Saccharomyces cerevisiae S288C: one gene and its partners. The gene in region 1 interacts genetically with each later gene. Each region holds a gene or a part of one and is shown in the gene's direction. Other genes may lie near its edges.

The links.
Region 2: mutations in GTO1 (region 1) and CMR3 together harm fitness more than expected from each alone (negative genetic interaction), as found in Saccharomyces cerevisiae (one large-scale study listed by BioGRID).
Region 3: mutations in GTO1 (region 1) and FAL1 together harm fitness more than expected from each alone (negative genetic interaction), as found in Saccharomyces cerevisiae (one large-scale study listed by BioGRID).
Region 4: mutations in GTO1 (region 1) and SRP102 together harm fitness less than expected from each alone (positive genetic interaction), as found in Saccharomyces cerevisiae (one large-scale study listed by BioGRID).

Annotation. Positions count from the first base shown.
Region 1 is NC_001139.9:794,266-800,021, reverse strand, and holds GTO1 (omega-class glutathione transferase), read left to right. Parts: upstream 1-2,153; coding exon 2,154-3,224; downstream 3,225-5,756. Other genes in the region: cystathionine beta-synthase CYS4, read right to left, coding at 1-1,479; YGR153W (uncharacterized protein), read right to left, coding at 3,277-3,930; Ras family GTPase RSR1, read left to right, coding at 4,530-5,348.
Region 2 is NC_001148.4:584,132-589,519, reverse strand, and holds CMR3 (Cmr3p), read left to right. Parts: upstream 1-3,934; coding exon 3,935-4,888; downstream 4,889-5,388. Other genes in the region: YPR014C (uncharacterized protein), read left to right, coding at 2,002-2,331. UniProt on the Saccharomyces cerevisiae protein: Probable transcription factor involved in the regulation of the transcription of genes involved in cell rescue and defense, as well as cell cycle and DNA processing.
Region 3 is NC_001136.10:484,955-489,266, forward strand, and holds FAL1 (ATP-dependent RNA helicase FAL1), read left to right. Parts: upstream 1-1,849; coding exon 1,850-3,049; downstream 3,050-4,312. Other genes in the region: GCV1 (glycine decarboxylase subunit T), read right to left, coding at 1-411; putative uridine kinase DAS2, read right to left, coding at 792-1,490; ATG31 (Atg31p), read right to left, coding at 3,118-3,708. UniProt on the Saccharomyces cerevisiae protein: ATP-dependent RNA helicase involved in 40S ribosomal subunit biogenesis. Required for the processing and cleavage of 35S pre-rRNA at sites A0, A1, and A2, leading to mature 18S rRNA.
Region 4 is NC_001143.9:158,627-163,999, forward strand, and holds SRP102 (Signal recognition particle receptor subunit beta), read left to right. Parts: upstream 1-2,974; coding exon 2,975-3,709; downstream 3,710-5,373. Other genes in the region: 40S ribosomal protein eS27 RPS27A, read left to right, coding at 341-586; tRNA methyltransferase RSM22, read right to left, coding at 830-2,716; phosphoglycerate mutase GPM1, read right to left, coding at 5,016-5,373. UniProt on the Saccharomyces cerevisiae protein: Component of the signal recognition particle (SRP) complex receptor (SR). Ensures, in conjunction with the SRP complex, the correct targeting of the nascent secretory proteins to the endoplasmic reticulum membrane system.

The DNA of each region.
Region 1 (5,756 bases):
TGGTTTCAAGCCATCAGTGATAACGGCAGATGAGTTTTTTTCAAAGAAACGATTCAAGTCAGATAGCTTTGAGTTTTCATCGAATTTAATAAACTTCTTCTTACCGGATTTATTTTCGTTGTAAGAGGAAACATCATTGAAATTGTTTAATTTCTTGAAGTCCAAGTATTTACCCTTTATAGTGTTGTCGTTGTTTGAATTATTGATTGATAGTTTTCTTAGAAGCTCAGAGAGAGTAACTAAACCAGACAACTTGCCGTCTTCAGTCAACACAGGCAATTGGTCAAAGCCATTGTCTTTTAATATCTTGATAACATCAGTGACCTTAGCGGTTTCCTTAACGGAAACAACCGGTTTCAAGTGAAGATCCTTTACAGTAGCGTTACCAAACACATCAGCGTATTTTGTCGTCGAAGCCTCCAGCTTTGAAGAGTCAAAACGGGCCAACACGTCATCATCCCACAAATTGTTCTTTTTCAACCATTCGTCATCGACGAATTTGGTTAGGTACGACCTGATGGAATCTGGGAATATGGCAACAATGACATCATCTTCAGTCAGTTCAGGGTGGTCTTCACAGTATTTCACAACCGCAGTGAAGGCAGAACCGGAAGAACCACCCACCAAGACACCTTCGTTAGAAATCAATTGTCTGGCGTATTTGAAAGAAGGCTTGTCGTCTGTCTTATACCAAACATCAATTAATTTTCTGTCCAAAACCTGAGGAACAAAATCATAACCAATACCCTCAACTTTGTAGTCAGTGATATCAGTCTTATTCAAGTTTTCAGGTTGGGCTAAAATTGAACCGAATGGGTCAGCACCAACGATTTGGATCTTATCATTCTGTTCTTTCAAGTACTTGGAAATACCGCTAATAGTCCCACCAGTACCAGCACCAGCAACAACAGCGCGTAGATTATCAAATAAATTCAAGTCTTCTAGCTGTCTTTGGATTTCGCGACCAGTACCAAAGTAATGAGCTTCTGGGTTCATCATATTGTTATATTGGTCAAGTATAACAGCACCAGGAATCTCTTTTTCCAACTTCTTAGCAACACCAATATGTGATTCTGGAGAATCCCAGGCAGCAGCAGTTGGAGTTCTGATGATTTCAGCACCCAGAGCCTTTAGGACAGAAACTTTCTCGTTAGACATTTTTTCCGGCAAGGTGATGATAGTTCTGTAACCTTTGATGGCGCCGATTAAAGCTAGACCGATACCGGTGTTACCAGAAGTAGGTTCGATCAGAGTAGATCTGGAAGGATGAATTCTACCGGAAGCTTCAGCTTCTTCCACCATAGACTTGGCAATTCTGTCTTTGATGGAACCACCTGGATTGTATAGTTCCAGCTTAGCATAAATTTGTGGTTTGATACCCAAAGCCTTAGGCAATTTTTTCAGTGCGATCAATGGGGTGTTACCAACTAAGTCGATAACGTTATGTCTTGAATCGGCTTGCTGCTCAGATTTAGTCATTTTTATTCTTACGTCGTATTTATCTAGATGTCCTTTGAGCAAGTGGCCTACAACGAAATCTTCAAGTGTTGCCTTTTACTTTGGCATAGAAGCATCACGACATTTATATATACAAGCCTGGTGAAGTGCCTTGCGTTTACTTTAACCTTTAGGAGAAAAAAATTTTCGGTGTTGGTTTCTTTTTTTCCTTTCGGTGCAAAACTGTGGAGGAAGATGGCAATAAATTAGTGAAACGGTAATGCCGTGTGGACTGCATATGCCGGATATAGCATTTATCAGTCACGACAGAGCTGATTATCCTTACTTGGGTGAAGTTGAAGTTGTTGTGATAAGGTTAGAATGCAAATGAAGCTTTGTCAGCGCTGAGAAAGAAAATTTTGTTTTGTGAGCCACTACTATCACGTGCCATTACCATTTTAATCAGTTATGAAATAGGGGAATGTGTCATTGAGGGAAAATGTAATGGCCACCAAATGAATCAGAGGGTCGGATGAGAACACACCCTTACTAACTGCTGTTCATATCTCACAGTTGCCATTGATAAGCTCTGGTGGGAAAATACCCTTGATTTTTGGTAGCACATATTGACATAACAAAAGTCTTGACTTTGCCAATTGGAGAGATGGCCACTTATAGAGGAAAATACTCGTAAAAATAATCATAAACAGTAAGCCATGTCAGTATCTTACAAGGGAACAATTTCTAAGACACATTCTGTTTTTAAACCAGAAAAAGGAAGGTATTATATTTACGGGGCCCTTGGGTGTCCATTCACTCATAGAGCCATTCTTGCCAGGTCTTTGAAGAAATTAGAACCTGTTCTAGGGCTTGTGTTATCTCACTGGCAATTAGACTCCAAGGGTGCCCGTTTCTTACCTGCTCCACACCGGCCGGAAAAATATAAAGAGAGATTCTTTACTGCCACTGGTGGCATTGCTTCAGCTAAATTAGACGAATCTGAGGAGTTAGGTGATGTGAACAATGACTCTGCAAGGTTGTTCGTGGATGGCGCTTTCGACCCGGTGGAAAATATATCAAGGTTAAGCGAGTTGTACTACTTAAATGATCCTAAGTACCCCGGTACAAAGTTCACTGTGCCTGTTCTGTGGGATTCTAAAACAAGGAAAATTGTTAACAATGAGAGTGGCGATATCATAAGAATTTTGAACAGTGGCGTGTTTGATGAATTTATCCAAAGCGAAGAAACGAACGTGATTGATCTAGTTCCGCATGATTTAATAGACGAGATTGATAAGAACATCAAATGGGTTCATCCGAAGATTAATCTTGGTGTCTATAAAGTCGGATTAGCAGAAAACGGAAAGATTTACGAAACTGAAGTAAAAACACTGTTTGAAAACTTGCAGAAGATGGAATGTGTACTAAAAGAAAATTATAAGCGCTTAGAGGAGCAATTCAGTGGTAACAAACAGAAAATCTTGGCTAAATATTTTGTTTTAGGACAGAGGTTAACTGAAGCGGATATCAGATTGTATCCATCAATAATTAGATTTGACGTCGTGTACGTGCAGCACTTCAAATGCAATTTGAAAACTATAAGGGATGGTTTCCCGTACCTTCATTTGTGGTTGATTAATCTATACTGGAATTACGCAGAGTTTAGATTTACTACAGATTTTAATCATATTAAGCTCTTTTACATCAGGATGGAAGTAAGTAGGAACAAGATCAATCAGTTTGGTATAGTGCCATTAGGCCCAAAGCCTGACATTTCTAGATTATGAAAACTTCTAATATTTTCTTACACACACATATATTTATATGCATGGCTATACTTCAAAAGAGGTTGTCACTTCCATTTCCATGTAGGTAAAACTCGTGTATAGACGGAACACAGACTTCCCTAGTTTTATTGACTTCATAGTCTCTGCACCATTCAATTATGTCTCTGTAAAAGAGACTCTTCTTTATATCGCCCTTTTCTATATTCTCCATCTCCAGTTCTTTGAAGCATTTTGCTTTTCTCGATTTATGACAACCACACGGTTTTACACTCTCCTCTCCATGTTCTACCATTTCATGCCTCCAGTCAAAAAATGGTTGACTGTATTCCCTACTTGAATCCATACTTGATTCAACAAGGTAGTTTCTCGAATTCTCAGGTAGTACTGCCACCCTCCTTAAACGTTTCTCTCTTTGTCTTGCTTCCTTTCTTTGTTCTATTTTTGGCGGAATGGTAAATTTCACAGGATTCTTGGATCCATTCTCATTTTCATTCAAGGCATTTAAGTCCAAGGAAAATAACCGTATGCTCACGTTGGACCCTTCAAACGTGAAACTATCTTCACTCAATATACTTCCTACACCGCATTGTTCCTCGTTACTACTTGAATCCTGTATATCTGAGAGAGAGGTAAAAAATGAGTAGGTATCTCTTTCCCCCTCACATTCGTAAGTGCCGACTTCTTTATTCAAACAGGCCTTTCCCATTTCTCAAAGACCTCTTTTCGTAACCTATTTAGTAATGATGAAAAGTATTAAACAGTATTTTCAAGATAAGAATTTTATTATTTTGTACCATTTACGATACACATAAACCCCAGAAAAAAACAACTTTATGGGAAAAGGCGAATAGTACTCATAATATACAAGGTAAAAGCAGGCGTATCTCAGTCATACAGTTCAATAGAGAAAGGCATTTTTGGAATATCATACATTTTATCTAGCAAGTGGAAACAGACTGTATATTCCCAAGAATCATCGCCTTTTTATCACAACGTCAGCCTCACAACTAATTCGCGTCAAAGCGCATTCATCCTCGACATTCTCAAACGCGAAATATCGTCGAAAAAGGTTAAAAAGAAAAGAGAGAAGGACAGAAAAAGAAAAAAGTAAAGTAGAGCTCGATCTCGAAAAAAAGAACCATTGCGTTCGTTCTTAACTACGCCAAGAAGTTTTTGAAATTTCATCCTCTCCACTGAACAATAATACTATTATTTAGTAACGATATAGAACATTTACATACAACGTTCTAATATTTTGGCTTCTATCATCGCTTAGAAATATTTGGCTAGGAAACATTAGGACTAATGAGAGACTATAAATTAGTAGTATTGGGTGCTGGTGGTGTCGGTAAATCCTGCTTAACCGTGCAGTTTGTACAGGGAGTTTATTTGGATACGTATGATCCAACGATCGAAGATTCTTACAGGAAAACCATCGAGATCGATAACAAGGTATTCGACCTGGAAATTTTAGATACAGCGGGTATAGCACAATTTACTGCAATGAGAGAATTATACATAAAGTCAGGAATGGGGTTCCTGTTGGTATATTCAGTAACAGATCGGCAATCTTTGGAAGAATTAATGGAGCTAAGAGAACAGGTCCTTAGGATCAAAGATTCCGATCGCGTTCCAATGGTTCTAATAGGTAACAAGGCTGATCTAATCAATGAAAGGGTAATAAGTGTGGAAGAAGGTATAGAGGTAAGCAGTAAATGGGGTAGAGTTCCCTTTTATGAAACAAGCGCTTTGTTGAGGAGCAATGTGGATGAAGTGTTCGTTGATTTAGTTAGGCAAATCATTCGGAATGAAATGGAAAGTGTTGCAGTTAAAGACGCAAGAAATCAAAGTCAACAATTTAGCAAAATCGAGTCTCCATCAACCAGGCTCCCTAGTTCTGCGAAACAGGATACGAAACAATCAAACAATAAGCAATCATCAAAAGGTTTATATAACAAATCTTCACAAGGACAAGCTAAAGTTAAACAATCTACTCCGGTTAATGAAAAGCACAAACCGTCACATGCCGTTCCGAAATCTGGTTCTAGCAACAGGACAGGAATTAGCGCTACTTCACAACAAAAGAAAAAGAAGAAAAACGCTTCCACTTGCACTATTCTATAGTCACTTAATTTTATTATAAATGAATCAAGATATCAGATAAAAAGACTTTACTTGAAATAGTTTTATTATAGTTCTAAAAGGTTTAGTTTAAAGTATTAGCATACGTTGTATAAGTTTTTAAAGAAATCAATTAATAATGTTTGAAAATAAATTTAAACCCAAAAAAAATGAAATGTTAAAAATATGGACGCAACCGGAATCGAACCGATGACCTCTTCCTTGCAAGGGAAGCGCGCTACCAACTGCGCCATGTGCCCGCAATCTATGGGATTTTACGGTAGATGCTGCGTTACGTATAAAAAATATTAAATGAACAGATCCACACTCTCGTAACTAAAGCTCACACTGTAGTTTCTTATAGTTTATGTTGATTGATATAATTAATTCAGAGGGTCTTTAGTCTCAGAT
Region 2 (5,388 bases), on another chromosome or scaffold:
GAAGTGATTAGTGGAACATAGAAGGGGATAAATTTCCTATCGGATAACAAAGAAAAACCAGGATTATTGTTTTACCACCACATTTTCAAACTTTCCCGCTGAATTTCCTACTACCCTCATTTGAAAGAACGCTTTCCACTCTTTAGGTTGGCGTTGTATCATCTTTTCTTCCATTCAATGCACCAAGACTTAATTTTGTTGGTTAAACTCTTATTCTTTGTCAGTTTAACCAACAAAATTACCTACGGTAATTAGTGAAAGGCCAAAATCTAATGTTACAATATGATTCAATCATTCTTATTGCGGAGAAGCTACCGAGAAGAACCCTACCACTGGTACAACACAAGGGAACGGTCTCATTGACCTCGTGCATAACCGGGAAGGTAACACATGAATATGCTGTGTTTGAATCATCTCCAATCCAAACTATAGGAATGAAAAATTTTTTTTGGGTACAATGTCTTCTCACAATATCGTATTCTTGGTCAGCAATGTTTCCAAGGATGACAGACTCTTTCTAAGAAAAGATTTCAAGTTCAAAATTTACATAACAGTGAACTATGCAGAAAATTTTACTTCTAGACCACGCATTTAACAATAATGTTTGCCCGCAACAATAAAGTATTTGGTCGCTTTAAGACGTTATCAGTTATTTTATGAGAAGGTGTTTACCATTCGTGCTCCCATACTAAAACCAAGGGGTAAATAGGACCCACATTTCGTTTCTGACAGCCAACAACGTGCCACTAGCAGGACAGTTATTGGAGGTTTATATTATGTAATTATTGTTAGCTGATAAATGATTTACAGAAAGCGCTGATGTTCACTGGGCTGCTTATTCAGCAATCCCCACGCATATTTACTTCAAAGAGAAAGAATTTTTGATGTAAGTTTTATTTGAACGTGGAACTTTGGCGTGGGGCATTTATGGCTGCTATCACACAAATCGCGGAGCAGAGTACCCCTGGATTATATAACACAACTCACTAAAATCGCTCAAAATTGGGGGGTACGGGTTAGCGCGGCAGCTCATCGAGGGAACAGCACCTAGTGCACGTTTAATTGATAGTATCTTCAGAACGAAATCAAATTTTTCGCAGTATCATTTACGTTTCAAGAAACTTAAAGTGTTTGGAGAAATTAGGAACGAAAAAAAGCTACTATAGAAATTGTAGCCTGTCTTCAACTGCTGTCCTCGGCTTTTGACTTGCCTAAGTATATGCCGCAATGGGCGATAAGCGGGAGTGTCGGTCAGATCTGTGGTAAAAAAAAGATAGCAATAAAAAATTATGAATTTAAACAGTAGTCTTGAATTTAAACAAGTGATCTTGACTTGAATACTTCCATCAATGAGTCGCTAAAATGAAAATGGCTGCACAATCTCCTCCGCATATCTTAAAAGGCAGCAATTAGCCAGTTGATCACCCTACATTTCCACAGAAACGAAAAAGTGTAATAGTTATTTTTGCGGCCAATATCGTAAGCTCTAGCGGTGCCTTAGCTTTATGATTGTTGCAAGAAAGTTTGCCTTTTTGACTCTCCTTCAGGTGTCAGTATTAACAAACGGCGTTGAATGTTTAAGTTATTATTTTATTCATCAAATCGACTTGGATACTTTCTCGGTGATGTCGCTAATTGGATTATACCATTAAGGTTGTCACCAGTGTAAAAATTTTGCATCGGTACTTGCAACTACGTGTGAAGGTCAAGTTACTCAACGCAAAGAAACGTTAACATTTTTACAAATTTTAGCTGCAGTACTATGTTTTAAGTAATCCAAAGGGAACTATTTGTTATATCCCAGAATTATTTACATTCGTTTCTTAGTTTCATAAACAATGAATACCTATTGAATGGATAGAAATTCTGACTTGATTTTACGAGTTATTATTGCTGACATTAGTCCAAAGACATCTCAGTTTTGTTTCCTCTACAACCCAATGAGGAGGCTAGCCAGGGCTGTCGCCCAAAAAAATAGCCAATAAAGCGGCAACTTTCTGTATGTCTTGCATTTTTTCCGCTGACTTGGGAGTAGAGTACAGCTGCGCGGAGTCGCGTATTACAAATCTTGTACTTTGCATTCTGTGCATACGTGAGGAAAAAGCAGCACCTGTTGTGAAAAAAGATAAATTTCTTTTTTTCATTTTTCTATCCTCAAAGGAAAATCTTTTCTGCGAAATTTCTAGCCGCTCTTCAGTTTCCGAAGTAAAGTCGCTGAGGGCGAAAAACAACTTTATTTGCCCACACGCTGTTATAGGCTTCCAGGGAGCAAAAGCGCAATTGGGAATAAGGTTTCCTCAATTGAATGGTTTGCTTCGCCTACAGCATTAACCAGAAGGTAATTTGATCTCTTGTATGTCCGCTAACAGATCTTGTCCATTAATTGTTTATTTTCTTCAGGTAGGCTGAGCCCACTTTGTAGTAGCTCCCTACCATTACTTTTGGCCTTGTAGTTATTGGCTTTGATTTTTTCTTTCTATGACAATCCCGTTGAGCAACCTTGCGAAGGGCTCTTTTTGAAAAAAAGGCGTGGGCAAGATCTCTGTATCCCTTTCTCGGTTTTTTCTTCCCATTCAACAGTAATTGAGTGTCGCTATTTTGACTTACCTCAGTGCCTATTATTAGCATAAGAAATGACCCACATAGTCTGAACTCTAAATAAACCCGAATTAGGAATCAAGTACATTTCATATCCGCTAGGTTTGACAATCCTCCGTAGATAACCTTAATGATACAATGGAAAGGTTATTTTTTATTATTGTCATAGAAGTTGTTACGTGAGCAATATAACACGACGTGAATAGTACGCATACATCTTGTTGTATCGGAAACTTAAAATGCTCATAGATTTTTTGCAGCTTATATTGGTTCTTGTCTCCGTAGGAAACAACGTAATGTAGCCGATAATTTTTTTTTTTTTCGCTCGTAGGCTCTTCAGTAGATACTACTACATAATCACTGTTGTACGCACCTACTATTCTTCCAGGTAACAGTACTACAAAGGGTCTGAGACTGTGCAGTAAACCGATACGCTACAAAATTTCCTTTTCAGCTTTTGCCTGTGATGCATAGCCGCAATGTCAGAGCAAATGGAAATGAAAAGGAGGGCCTTCAAGATTGAAAAAAAGCCCGATTGGAAAATCTTCCGACACGAGGTGCAGTCAAGTACTCATAAACGATACATGTGAAAATCAATCCATATACATCGCGTACGCTCCGTACCTAAAAGTATATCTGGGTTTTGCAGCAATCTTGAGAACAATCAGGTGAGAGATGCCGTTTCTCGGGGTTAAAGAATAAAATGACGGCGATCCCTCTTCTCAGGATCGGGACTATCTCATATAGGAAATATCCTTACGGGAGCATTCCACCTTGAGCTACGAGTGATTGCCATTTACGGTGGGAAATAAGGTTTTCAGTGGATACTGGTTTTGAGGGCAGATCAAGACGATCTGTTTTTTAACTTCCGCTTTAATTCTGCGTATTATTCTGTACAAGAAACTCAAACAACAACAAAAAACAAGATAAAGAATGATGCATCAGGTTCCCGACTTATGTCCCTAAAGTTTCATAAGTAAGAAACCCGCGCGAGAACGTCATTTGAACTACCTTACAGATCTGCAGGTGGCCCGGAAAGGGCAGTCGTGTGCCTTCATCATTATTGTTGTATTCTCTGTGCCTTCTTTTTTTCCTTACTTACTATTTTGCTATATATGTGACTACTACATGTTGATGTTTCAAAATACCTCTTTTATATGCCTGTCAGGGTTTGACAAGTTGAACGAAAGATACAATTGTTAGCTTTTTATTGTTCTATGGCTTCACAATAATTCCTCAAACATTAGTATACTTTTAGTTTTGAGCTTCTTAGTTATAACACAAGTTCATCACCTACCTTCGAAAAATAGCAGTAAACGCCACTAAAGTAAATTACATGAATTTTTCCCTTTCAAAGCAAAGTTCAGAAAAACAATCATCATATACAGACAAGTCAAGATCTCCTAATATAGGAATGTGTACAGTCAATTATAAATCGAACCTCCCCCTTCAAGTGTCCGCAGTTGATCAGCTGAGCACTGGTAAGGGGACTCAATTTTATGGCCACAATAGCTACAAAAATGAACGGGAATGTTATAATAGTACGAAAATAAACTTACCACCAATTTCATCCCTTTTGCCTAATTTTGAAAATAATACACCACCTAACGTAGATTCAAGGGTTCAATTCCCTCCACAGCAAGTTTATCAAAGCATGAATGTTGTACCCATTGTTAATGAGATCTACACCCCAATTTCCATGAACGCAACATCTGATCAATATCCTATCTACTATACGGAAAGTCAGCAACCAATACCACATAGCCAGTCTCCTCATTTGACCTCCTCTGCTCCCTTGATGATGCCAGTCATGGTCCCAACAGTATATAAACCATTGACACCATACGACAAAGAACCAATAACAATTGCCTCCGAACCTAACTTCACTGCAATATCAATGGCGAGTCACCCAAACGCTGCCTTAGAGCTATGCCACGATAGGCCAAAATCAGTCCCACCTGGGTATGGCGTACTTCCAACCATGCAGGAAGCCAGTAACGGCAGAACAAAAAGCGAACCTGGTGCCGTGTTGAACGGTTCAGCAACATTTTCTGATTGGAAAACTGACACCCGAATATCATCCACAAAGCTGAGAAAGCAGTGCCCAGTATGTGGAAAAATTTGTTCGAGGCCCTCAACGCTGAAGACACATTACTTAATTCATACGGGAGATACTCCTTTCAAATGTACTTGGGAGGGTTGCACAAAATCCTTCAATGTGAAAAGCAATATGCTGAGACATTTGAAAAGCCATGAAAGGAAAAGAAACAAAGTCTTAAACACTACATAGAAACAATAGGAACGGAAAGCTTTATTGCAATGGAATTTTTAGAACTCATATTCAAAGGTAAGGCAAAACTATGTATAGACTCTAATAGAATGTTTTACGGACTTTAGAAGCAAGGGAATAAAACTAATTAAGCGCAAGTCACCTTCTTTGTTAGTGTTCTTCCCAGTTTTATATAACGGGAGTGCGTCTTCAAGTTTACTTGGACGCACAAAGACGTTTTTATGTTTATGTATTATTTCGTAAATATATGAGAGGCAAAGAAGATGGATGATGATATAATATGCAAGGGAAAATGCGTAGTTGAGGTATTGGGAAAGTTCCATGTGATCACTTGATGCAAGCCGTGCATTATTTATCAGCAGATCTATTTTCACTTTTCAATTTTTTTCAGGTTGACCCTTCAATATTTTTTTACCTCTTTTTCTAGATATATTTGCAGGGTACTCTCGATGTCCGCAGTTCGTCAAAATGATTATGATTGCCAGTAAGGCCAAGTGAAT
Region 3 (4,312 bases), on another chromosome or scaffold:
GTCTCTTTCCGCACAGCCAGCATTGGTCACAATATAGAACTCATTGTCATCGTTTTCTTTAGTGATGATGGTATCGTCTACCACGCCTCCCTGTGGATTTAATAGAACACTTAAGGTCCCTGACCCAACAGGCAAGGCATTGAAATCTGTGGGCGTTACACGTTGCAGAAACTTAACAGAATGAGGACCAGATAACTTACTTTGTAACATATGAGAAACATCAAATAAACCAGCGTTTGTCCTGGTCCAATTATGTGATTCAATATGAGTCTGTCCCTTGTATAGTACGGGCATGGAATATCCTGCGTATGGTACCATTGTACCGCCTAATGACACATGAAGGTCATGAAGAGCAGTTTTTTTCAAAGTTGAGTTGAATCTCTTAAACACAATTTTTTTGATTATAGACATTATTGCTTGTGCCAGGCAAAGCTCTTTCTACATATGTGAGCTACGGGTACTGTAATTGGATTTGTTTGGGTTCAAGGTGCTATATATATGATATTTGGACCTATTCTTTTTGACATACCGTTTACTCGAGGCAACACGAGTCAGGGCTCCTGAGCAGAGTCGCCCTGCCGAAAGAAGTCACGGCGATGAACAAAATAGGTGATATCTATGACCAGCTCTAAGTAAGAACTCAGCTTCCCGTGAGCATGGTTCTAATGGAGTAAAAGCGCCCATCGAGATCCAAGAATGCAAAAAAAAAATCAATAAGCTTGTGTGGGTAAATACGGATGTTAGTCGCATCGAGCCGATTAAAAGTGGCGCAGATATAGAAGGCAAGGACCTCATGACAGATCGTAATATCTATCTTTCTCCAAGTCCATTGTTTCAGCTTCGAAATCCCATAAACGTGGGCGTATTTTGTTGTTCGTATTGTTGCCTTCTATTTGGCTTTTGGTATCTTCGATTGCTTTAACTATACCGTCCACGAGGACTGCGCGCCCTAGATTTTCATTTGTAGAAGGAATGATCAAATCTGCAAAAGTTCTAGTGGGCTCTATATATTGTTGCATCTCCGGGCGCAGATGGTCCATATACTCAGTGATCAACTGGGCTAGTTGTTCATTGCTCCCTACGTTCTTCTTCTTGATTAGACTAATTAATCTTTTATCTGCATCACTATCCAAGAATACTTTTAATTGAGATATTTCGTTGATGCGTTTATCGTATAGCGCATAACAGCCACATACTATTATCAAATCTATCGGGTCCTCGTAATCATGTTGAATCATGTCATTTTGAGAAGTTACAGCGTGCTTTTCATATACCAAATTAAGGATATTATCAAAATCATAGTCGTTATTATTGTAGCTCTTGATGTTCCCTTCTATCATATTATCTAGGTTTATTACCCTTATATTGATAGAGTTATATAGGCTTTTGAAAGTATTTTGTAAATCCAGTGCAATTGCTCCAACACCAGTAGCATGCCCTCCACCGATAGAAATAACAATTCTTTTTTCTTCGACAGCTTTTCTGTCCATTTCCTGTAATATTTATCTCGCTAATTGTTAATGCAGGAAACGAAAATTAAAAACGATTTCCCTTGTGGTATGCTCTAGGAAAAATGTACAGATAAATTGAATTATCCGTGATGGCAGCGTACAATCCATAGTTGCTTACTATTTGATCTGCTTTTTCTATCAGTGTCGAGAATTTATGCCGAAGTTTGAAAATTTTATTTTATGCGATGAGCTAGATAATAGCAGGGCCCAGACAAAATAAAAACATGAATTATACACAAATTTTAATATAAAAGGGCCACCACTCCTTCAAGAGGTATAAAAATTTGTTCACTCAAATAAAATAGACCGTACAGAAACAAAAAAAAAACTCATTAGACATGTCGTTTGACAGAGAAGAAGACCAAAAATTGAAGTTTAAAACATCGAAAAAATTAAAGGTGTCTTCTACTTTTGAAAGCATGAATCTAAAAGATGACTTACTTCGAGGAATATACTCATACGGTTTTGAAGCACCATCCTCTATCCAATCAAGGGCTATTACACAGATTATTTCGGGCAAGGACGTTATAGCACAAGCACAATCAGGTACAGGTAAGACAGCAACTTTTACAATCGGCCTTTTACAAGCTATTGATTTAAGGAAGAAAGATTTACAAGCTCTAATACTATCTCCAACACGTGAATTAGCAAGCCAAATTGGGCAAGTAGTAAAAAATCTAGGGGATTATATGAATGTCAATGCATTTGCCATTACAGGTGGTAAAACTTTGAAAGACGACCTGAAGAAAATGCAAAAGCATGGTTGCCAGGCCGTTAGCGGAACACCAGGAAGAGTATTAGACATGATTAAGAAACAAATGTTGCAAACAAGAAATGTTCAAATGTTAGTTTTAGATGAGGCTGATGAATTATTGAGTGAGACACTAGGTTTCAAGCAACAAATATACGATATTTTTGCAAAATTGCCTAAAAATTGCCAAGTTGTTGTTGTCAGCGCAACAATGAATAAGGACATTTTAGAAGTAACCAGAAAATTTATGAATGATCCAGTTAAAATCCTAGTGAAGAGGGATGAAATATCACTTGAAGGTATCAAACAATATGTCGTTAATGTTGACAAAGAAGAGTGGAAATTCGATACTCTGTGTGATATATACGATTCTTTGACCATTACACAATGTGTGATATTCTGTAACACCAAGAAAAAAGTAGATTGGTTATCTCAGCGGCTAATCCAATCAAACTTTGCTGTAGTCTCCATGCATGGTGATATGAAACAAGAAGAAAGAGATAAAGTAATGAATGATTTTAGAACAGGTCATTCTCGTGTACTGATATCGACGGATGTTTGGGCGCGCGGTATTGATGTCCAACAAGTTTCTTTAGTCATTAACTATGACCTACCAGAAATAATAGAAAATTACATCCATCGTATCGGTAGAAGTGGTCGATTTGGTAGAAAGGGTGTGGCTATAAACTTCATTACCAAAGCTGATTTAGCAAAACTTAGAGAAATTGAAAAATTCTATTCTATCAAAATAAATCCGATGCCAGCAAATTTTGCAGAATTATCATAAAATATAGAGAACATATACCTACATAAACAAGTTAAGAGAGTCTCATCCATGCGGCTTCATTTTTGCTTTCATACGGAATTGGAGAGCATTTGTAATTGTTCATTTTGTGTGACGTAGAGTTTAATTAAGTCATTCAAACTCAAATCGCGAAGAAAAGGAGACAGATCGCAAAATTGTGAAATTACATCGAGCTCAATGTCCGAGTCCACTCTGAATCTATCACTGTCAACGCTAAGTTCTTCCTCTTCATCATTAGATTTATCATCACCATGTGATGATAATGTTCTCATTTGGTTTTCCTCCAAGCTGAGACTATTTGTCCTATGTGACAAAAGCTCATATTGGTCGCTGATTAGTGTGATATCCTCAAGAGATCCCGATTCATCCAATTGGACAATTATGACATTTTCAAGTTCATCTCCGACCTTATCTATTCCTGCTGTCAAAGCAGCATCACTTGAATCTACTAGTTCATCATTGTTGTCCTCAAATATGTACTTAATGTTAGTGGGAAACATTGCATAATCACTTCCGTCCGTGCTCTTTGATTCATTATTGTATGCTGGTTGATCATCGTTGCTGGGACCCTTGTTATTTTTGATATTCTCTTCTAATCTGTACTTGACATTTTTATCATAAACAGTAACTGTAACATTCATTCCTGTTCGCAGATTTCAGCAATGTTTACCGGCTTAATAAGAAAATGGGAATGCGACGTTTATCTTGGATATTGACCACCCTTATATTATGGATATGTACTTCAAATTATTATCTTTTACGATAAAAAAGATTCTGATCCAACCGAGGTTCGAACTCGGGATCTTCGCCGTGTAAAGGCGACGTCTTGAACCACTGGACCATTGGACCGGAAACCCATTGGAAATGACTTAATCCCAATATCGCTATATTAAATGTAAAATAACTTTTTCAGGATAATCCACAAGAGTGGTGCTTCTGTCATTAAACTAATTTTTTTAAGGCCTGTTCGCCTATTATATGTCGAAAGTGTGTATTTCTTTCAAGTTATGCCTGCAATTCAAAGGACAGATTTATTTTACAGTGTCGACGACACCGTTTGAAAATGCAGATGCAGGACTGGGCACGTTTTACAATACGTATCGAGTCAAAAATACACTGATTTTGGTGATATTAGCTGCAGCATGGCGAATTTTTCACATATTACTGATAAGGATGGACATTATGTTTGACTTTTTTCCTTAGAGTAAGTATGGTCAGCAGAACAAAAAAGAGTTCCTACATTTA
Region 4 (5,373 bases), on another chromosome or scaffold:
TCCAATAAATGCAGCGCAACTGGACCAGTGAATAGAACAATACATATAGATAAGTCGCAAAAAGAAAAGAATACATGTGGTGGAAAATTTTGCACCAAGAGAGGCAAGAACTATGAAGAAAGACTTTTGAAATATTTCAAGCGGTTGCTACATATAGTGGATAAGATTCAGGATGGACGTATGAGCTTACAGTTCATTGTAGGGGAATATAAAATTCTGATGATGGCGAACTTCATTCCCAGCAACTCAAGCTATTGTTATTTTTCTATTCTGCACCGAGATGAGGAGAAAAAAGGAAGTTTACTAACAGTTAGATTTATTTCTTATTCGTCTACAACAGGTTTTAGTTCAAGATTTATTGCACCCAACTGCAGCTTCTGAAGCAAGAAAGCACAAATTAAAGACATTAGTCCAAGGTCCAAGATCGTACTTCCTAGACGTTAAGTGCCCAGGTTGTTTGAACATCACTACAGTTTTCTCACACGCCCAAACTGCAGTTACCTGCGAATCCTGCTCAACAATTTTGTGCACCCCAACTGGTGGTAAGGCAAAGCTTTCTGAGGGTACATCTTTCAGAAGAAAGTAATTTCATTACTAGACAGATGAAACGAAATTTACTTCAAAAGAAGAGCATTAATAAAGTGATTCAATTATGGAACCAGCAGGGTAGGTTTTATCATATATAATATACACTCAGTTGTCATCTTTATTGGCTTTTTAGAAACGCTGCAACAAACTGTACTATATATATATCATATTCACGTATGTAGAATATTAAAGTATTGAATATATTAATATTATTACTTTATTTCCAGTTACTTACAATTTCCTATTTTCTATTTACATGTTGTAAAAAATCGTTGCCGTGAAAAGTGGACAATTTCTTCATTACCTCAAAGTTTGAGAACTGATGATCATCAAATTGAAGAGAGTCCTCCAATTCATTATAAGATTCCATAGCCTTTCTAGCTTTTTGACGTTCTTCCTTTTTCAACTGCTTGATTCTCTCCTTTTCTAGCTTGTGGAACTTCTTAACATTCAAGTCTCCCAGCCCTTTAATCTGTGTTTTGGCCGCTGAGGCCCATAAATCACCTTTCTTACTCTTTCTGGCATCGTGGTATATTTGTTTAGAAAACGACCGCGAAACCGTCCATTTTTCAAGTTCTCCTGATGGCGCACATAAATCCATCATAACATGACCTTTACGTTTGACAGGATCATTGATAATTCTAGGCCAGGAATTTTGCGTGTCATCACCCAGTGATCCAATGTCATATTTGCCGTTCACATTTTCATTCCGTAATTTCTTAATTTCTTTCAACGTATTTTCGTCCTTATGTGATCTCTCGAATATTAAATAGGAGTAGTTTAAAATTTCATAGTCACGACCATTTCTTCTTCCCGTTCCTTTTAGCCTCGACGCATTTCCTTGAGAACCATCCCATGAAGTAGCGAGAAGTTTACCCTTCTTTAACTCTATACTGAATTTGGGACGCTTGATGCTTTTTTGAAAATTGCAGAACTTTAAGTCTTTACCCTCTTTATGAGTATAAAAGTTAGGATTTCCAACCTGTAAGGGACATTTCCTTTGATGTGGACAAGGTGCAATCACCTTCAGAAAATAATTACTGGAAATGTTTCCTAATTCAGCATCTTTTTTGCCTCTGACTGTTACTCCCCTAGACCAAGGTCTTGGTATTTTTCCGAATTCATCTGGAAAGTTTTCAGGTCTAAGCGTAATTTGCCTTGCCCTGGCTATAATCTCGAATCCCATTGGGTTGCCTCGTTCAATAATAACAATGTGGCCTCCAGGCGCTAGAATATTTAAGTAGTGCTCAATATTTTCATCCACCTGAATTGGAAATTGATTCCCGTCATGAAGAAGTTGATGCGTTAATATTATGAGGTCATATTCCTTAGATGCGGGAATAGAAGACCGCAAGTTAGTCATAATGTTTATCTTTTTTGTCATCACTTCTCCAATATGTTCATCCTCTTGAAAGTTTTTGTTCCGTCTATCTGTTTCCTGCTCTTTCTCTGTAGACACATTTTCTTCTACAGTATCGACCACCTCGTTAAGTTGTCTGCTCAAAATGATTTTGGCTCTTTCTTGCATCTCCGCATTCCCTAAAATAACGGCATCTTTTAGATCAGGTCTATAATTTGGGCCTAAAATATCATTCAAGGCAACTATACCAGTCGCTGGGCCATATCCAACATCAAGGATTCTTTGAGGTTTAAAATTATCAGGACCTACCCTTTTTTGTAATTCTTTCAGACTTTGGAAAATAGAACCATAATTTTGTAAAAAAATGGACGCTATATGTGCATCCACTTCCATTTTGGTTCTACAGGGACGATGTAATGAATTTGGTTCCTGAATCTCTTTGTAATAATTTGTAGCAACCCTTCTAAGATTATTGGGAATATGTACAGCCATAATATTATTGTTGATTGCTTTGCTTACATCAGGATTCAACTCTAATTGGTCCCGGTACGACTGGCCCTGAAGTGTTTTGGAAAGTAATCTGAGCTCTTTAGAATTAGTTGCTTGAGTGGTGCTAGCGGTTTCATCTCTGTACGACGGAAGAACATTGATTCCTCTTTTATTTGAGTCTATAAAATCCGCCAAATCTAACTTTGGTAAGTTTAAACTTGTGAACTTTGAGCTGAACCGGACATTTTGTGGTAGGATACTGAAGCATCTTTTCATCATTTTACCTAAACTAGACGGGCCACCTTATGTCCTAAAGTGTCAGAGGTTTTGCTGCAATACTGTTCTTAATTTTTCACCATTCACTTTTTTCATCTAGTGGCGGAAAAAAATAAGAGATATGGAAAACAAATATGAACCATCATTAAACTTGAAAAAGATGAGAAGAAAAGAAATAGTTAGGCTTTAAGTGTCTGTATTGATCAATTAATTATTACTTTACCACTGCTGTTTATTAGCATAATAGCACACGGGATCAGAATGCTTAGTAATACACTTATTATTGCCTGTTTATTGGTGATAGGGACAACCATAGCGCTAATAGCAGTGCAAAAGGCATCCTCCAAGACAGGGATCAAGCAAAAAAGTTATCAACCATCTATTATCATTGCAGGTCCTCAAAATTCTGGAAAAACGAGCTTGCTTACGCTGCTAACCACAGATTCAGTAAGACCAACTGTTGTTTCTCAAGAACCGTTATCAGCAGCGGATTACGATGGTTCCGGCGTCACGTTAGTGGACTTCCCAGGCCATGTCAAGTTGCGTTATAAACTCTCAGATTATTTGAAAACAAGAGCCAAATTTGTTAAAGGGTTGATATTTATGGTAGACTCAACAGTTGATCCTAAGAAATTAACAACAACAGCTGAGTTCTTGGTAGACATATTATCAATTACTGAATCTAGTTGCGAAAATGGTATTGATATCTTAATTGCATGCAATAAAAGCGAATTGTTCACTGCAAGACCACCATCAAAGATCAAGGATGCTTTAGAAAGCGAAATTCAAAAGGTTATTGAAAGAAGGAAAAAATCGTTGAACGAGGTTGAAAGAAAAATTAACGAAGAAGATTATGCAGAGAATACACTAGACGTTTTACAGTCTACCGACGGGTTCAAATTTGCAAATTTGGAAGCATCTGTAGTTGCTTTTGAGGGCAGTATTAATAAAAGAAAAATTTCCCAATGGCGCGAATGGATAGATGAAAAACTGTAATATAATTATAATTTATAACTAGATGAACGATAGATAGTTTAAAAACAAGCATTTAACATAGCTCTAGATTCCGTACGCAGAGAAAGACATAGTTGCATCATCGACACATGCAATATCAAAAGTAACTCTTTTTGACTGCTGGTGTAAAAAACACTCACGATGGGGGTCGAACCCATAATCTTCTGATTAGAAGTCAGACGCGTTGCCATTACGCCACGCGAGCTAATATTTGTTTGATGTTCCAGCAGTTATATGATCTAATTATGCGGGAAAATAATTGAAGATAAGTAGTTTGATGTATTTTTATTATAGTATTATATTTTCTGATTTGGTTATAGCAAGCAGCGTTTTTTTTCTTCTTTACCATAATCATTGTACCAGGAAATTTTGTTCATAATTATTGTGTTGATTGTCAATGGTCAAAGGTACAACTAATGAAGATTAAATATGGTGAATAGGAGGCCTGCTAGCCACCGTACATTTAATATGTCCGCGTGTTGGAATAAAAATCAACTATCGTCATCAACTAGTGGTTATACTACCAGTATATTATCTTATATGGTGTCAAATGTGGACATGATGACATAAGGTATGAGAAACTGTCATCGAAGTTAGAGAAAGCTGAAATACAAGGATCAATAATGTAATAGGATAATGAAACATATGAAATGGAATGAGGAACAATCGTGATATTATTATGTAGAAATATCGATTCCTTTTTGGGGATGCCTATATCCTCGAGGAGACACTTCCAGTATATTCTGTATACATAATATAACAGCCTTTATCAACATTGGAATCCCAACAATTATCTCAAAATTCACCAACCTCTCATGGCGCATATTCATCATGCATGTAACTACCACATCAATGTTCAATCATGGACTTTTAACTAATCTTAAGTACTATTCGAACTGCCCATTCAGCTTTTCCCTTTGCAATTGGTGCACTCCTACTTGAACGAATTCGCGGGGTGTACATTAAACTACGATGTAAACATCAAGGTTATTGCTATAACATGTCATGTCACCATTAATTACCACTCATTCCAACATACTGTCCCTGACGAAAACTGTTTATGCGAGCGCAAAATGAACCTATTCAATTAATAATACTCCTCAAATTGCTACCACGACAGGCTGAAAAAAGATGTCGACGAATAATGTAATCGTGTCAAACAAACGTTATCTTGACTATATATAGCTACTTAATTTGAAATAATAAACTATACAAGTCTATATCATTGATATATTCAGTAAGAAAAATGGAGGGAAAAAGAAATCATCAAATCATTCATTCTTCAGACTTATTTCTTACCTTGGTTGGCAACAGCAGCGGCACCAGCAGCGGCAGCTTCTGGGTCCAAGTAGTAAGATGGCTTAGATGGCTTCAAGTTTTCGTCCAATTCGAAGACCAATGGAATACCAGTTGGGATGTTCAACTTAGCAATGTCAGCATCAGAGATACCTTCCAAGTGCTTAACCAAACCTCTCAAGGAGTTACCGTGAGCGGCGATCATGACGGTCTTACCACTCAACAAGTCCTTGGCAATGACATCTTGCCAGTATGGCAACAATCTGTCAATGACCAAAGCCAAAGATTCAGTTTCTGGCAAGACATTTGGGTCAACGTACTTGTATCTTTCATCACCCTTTTGAGAGAAT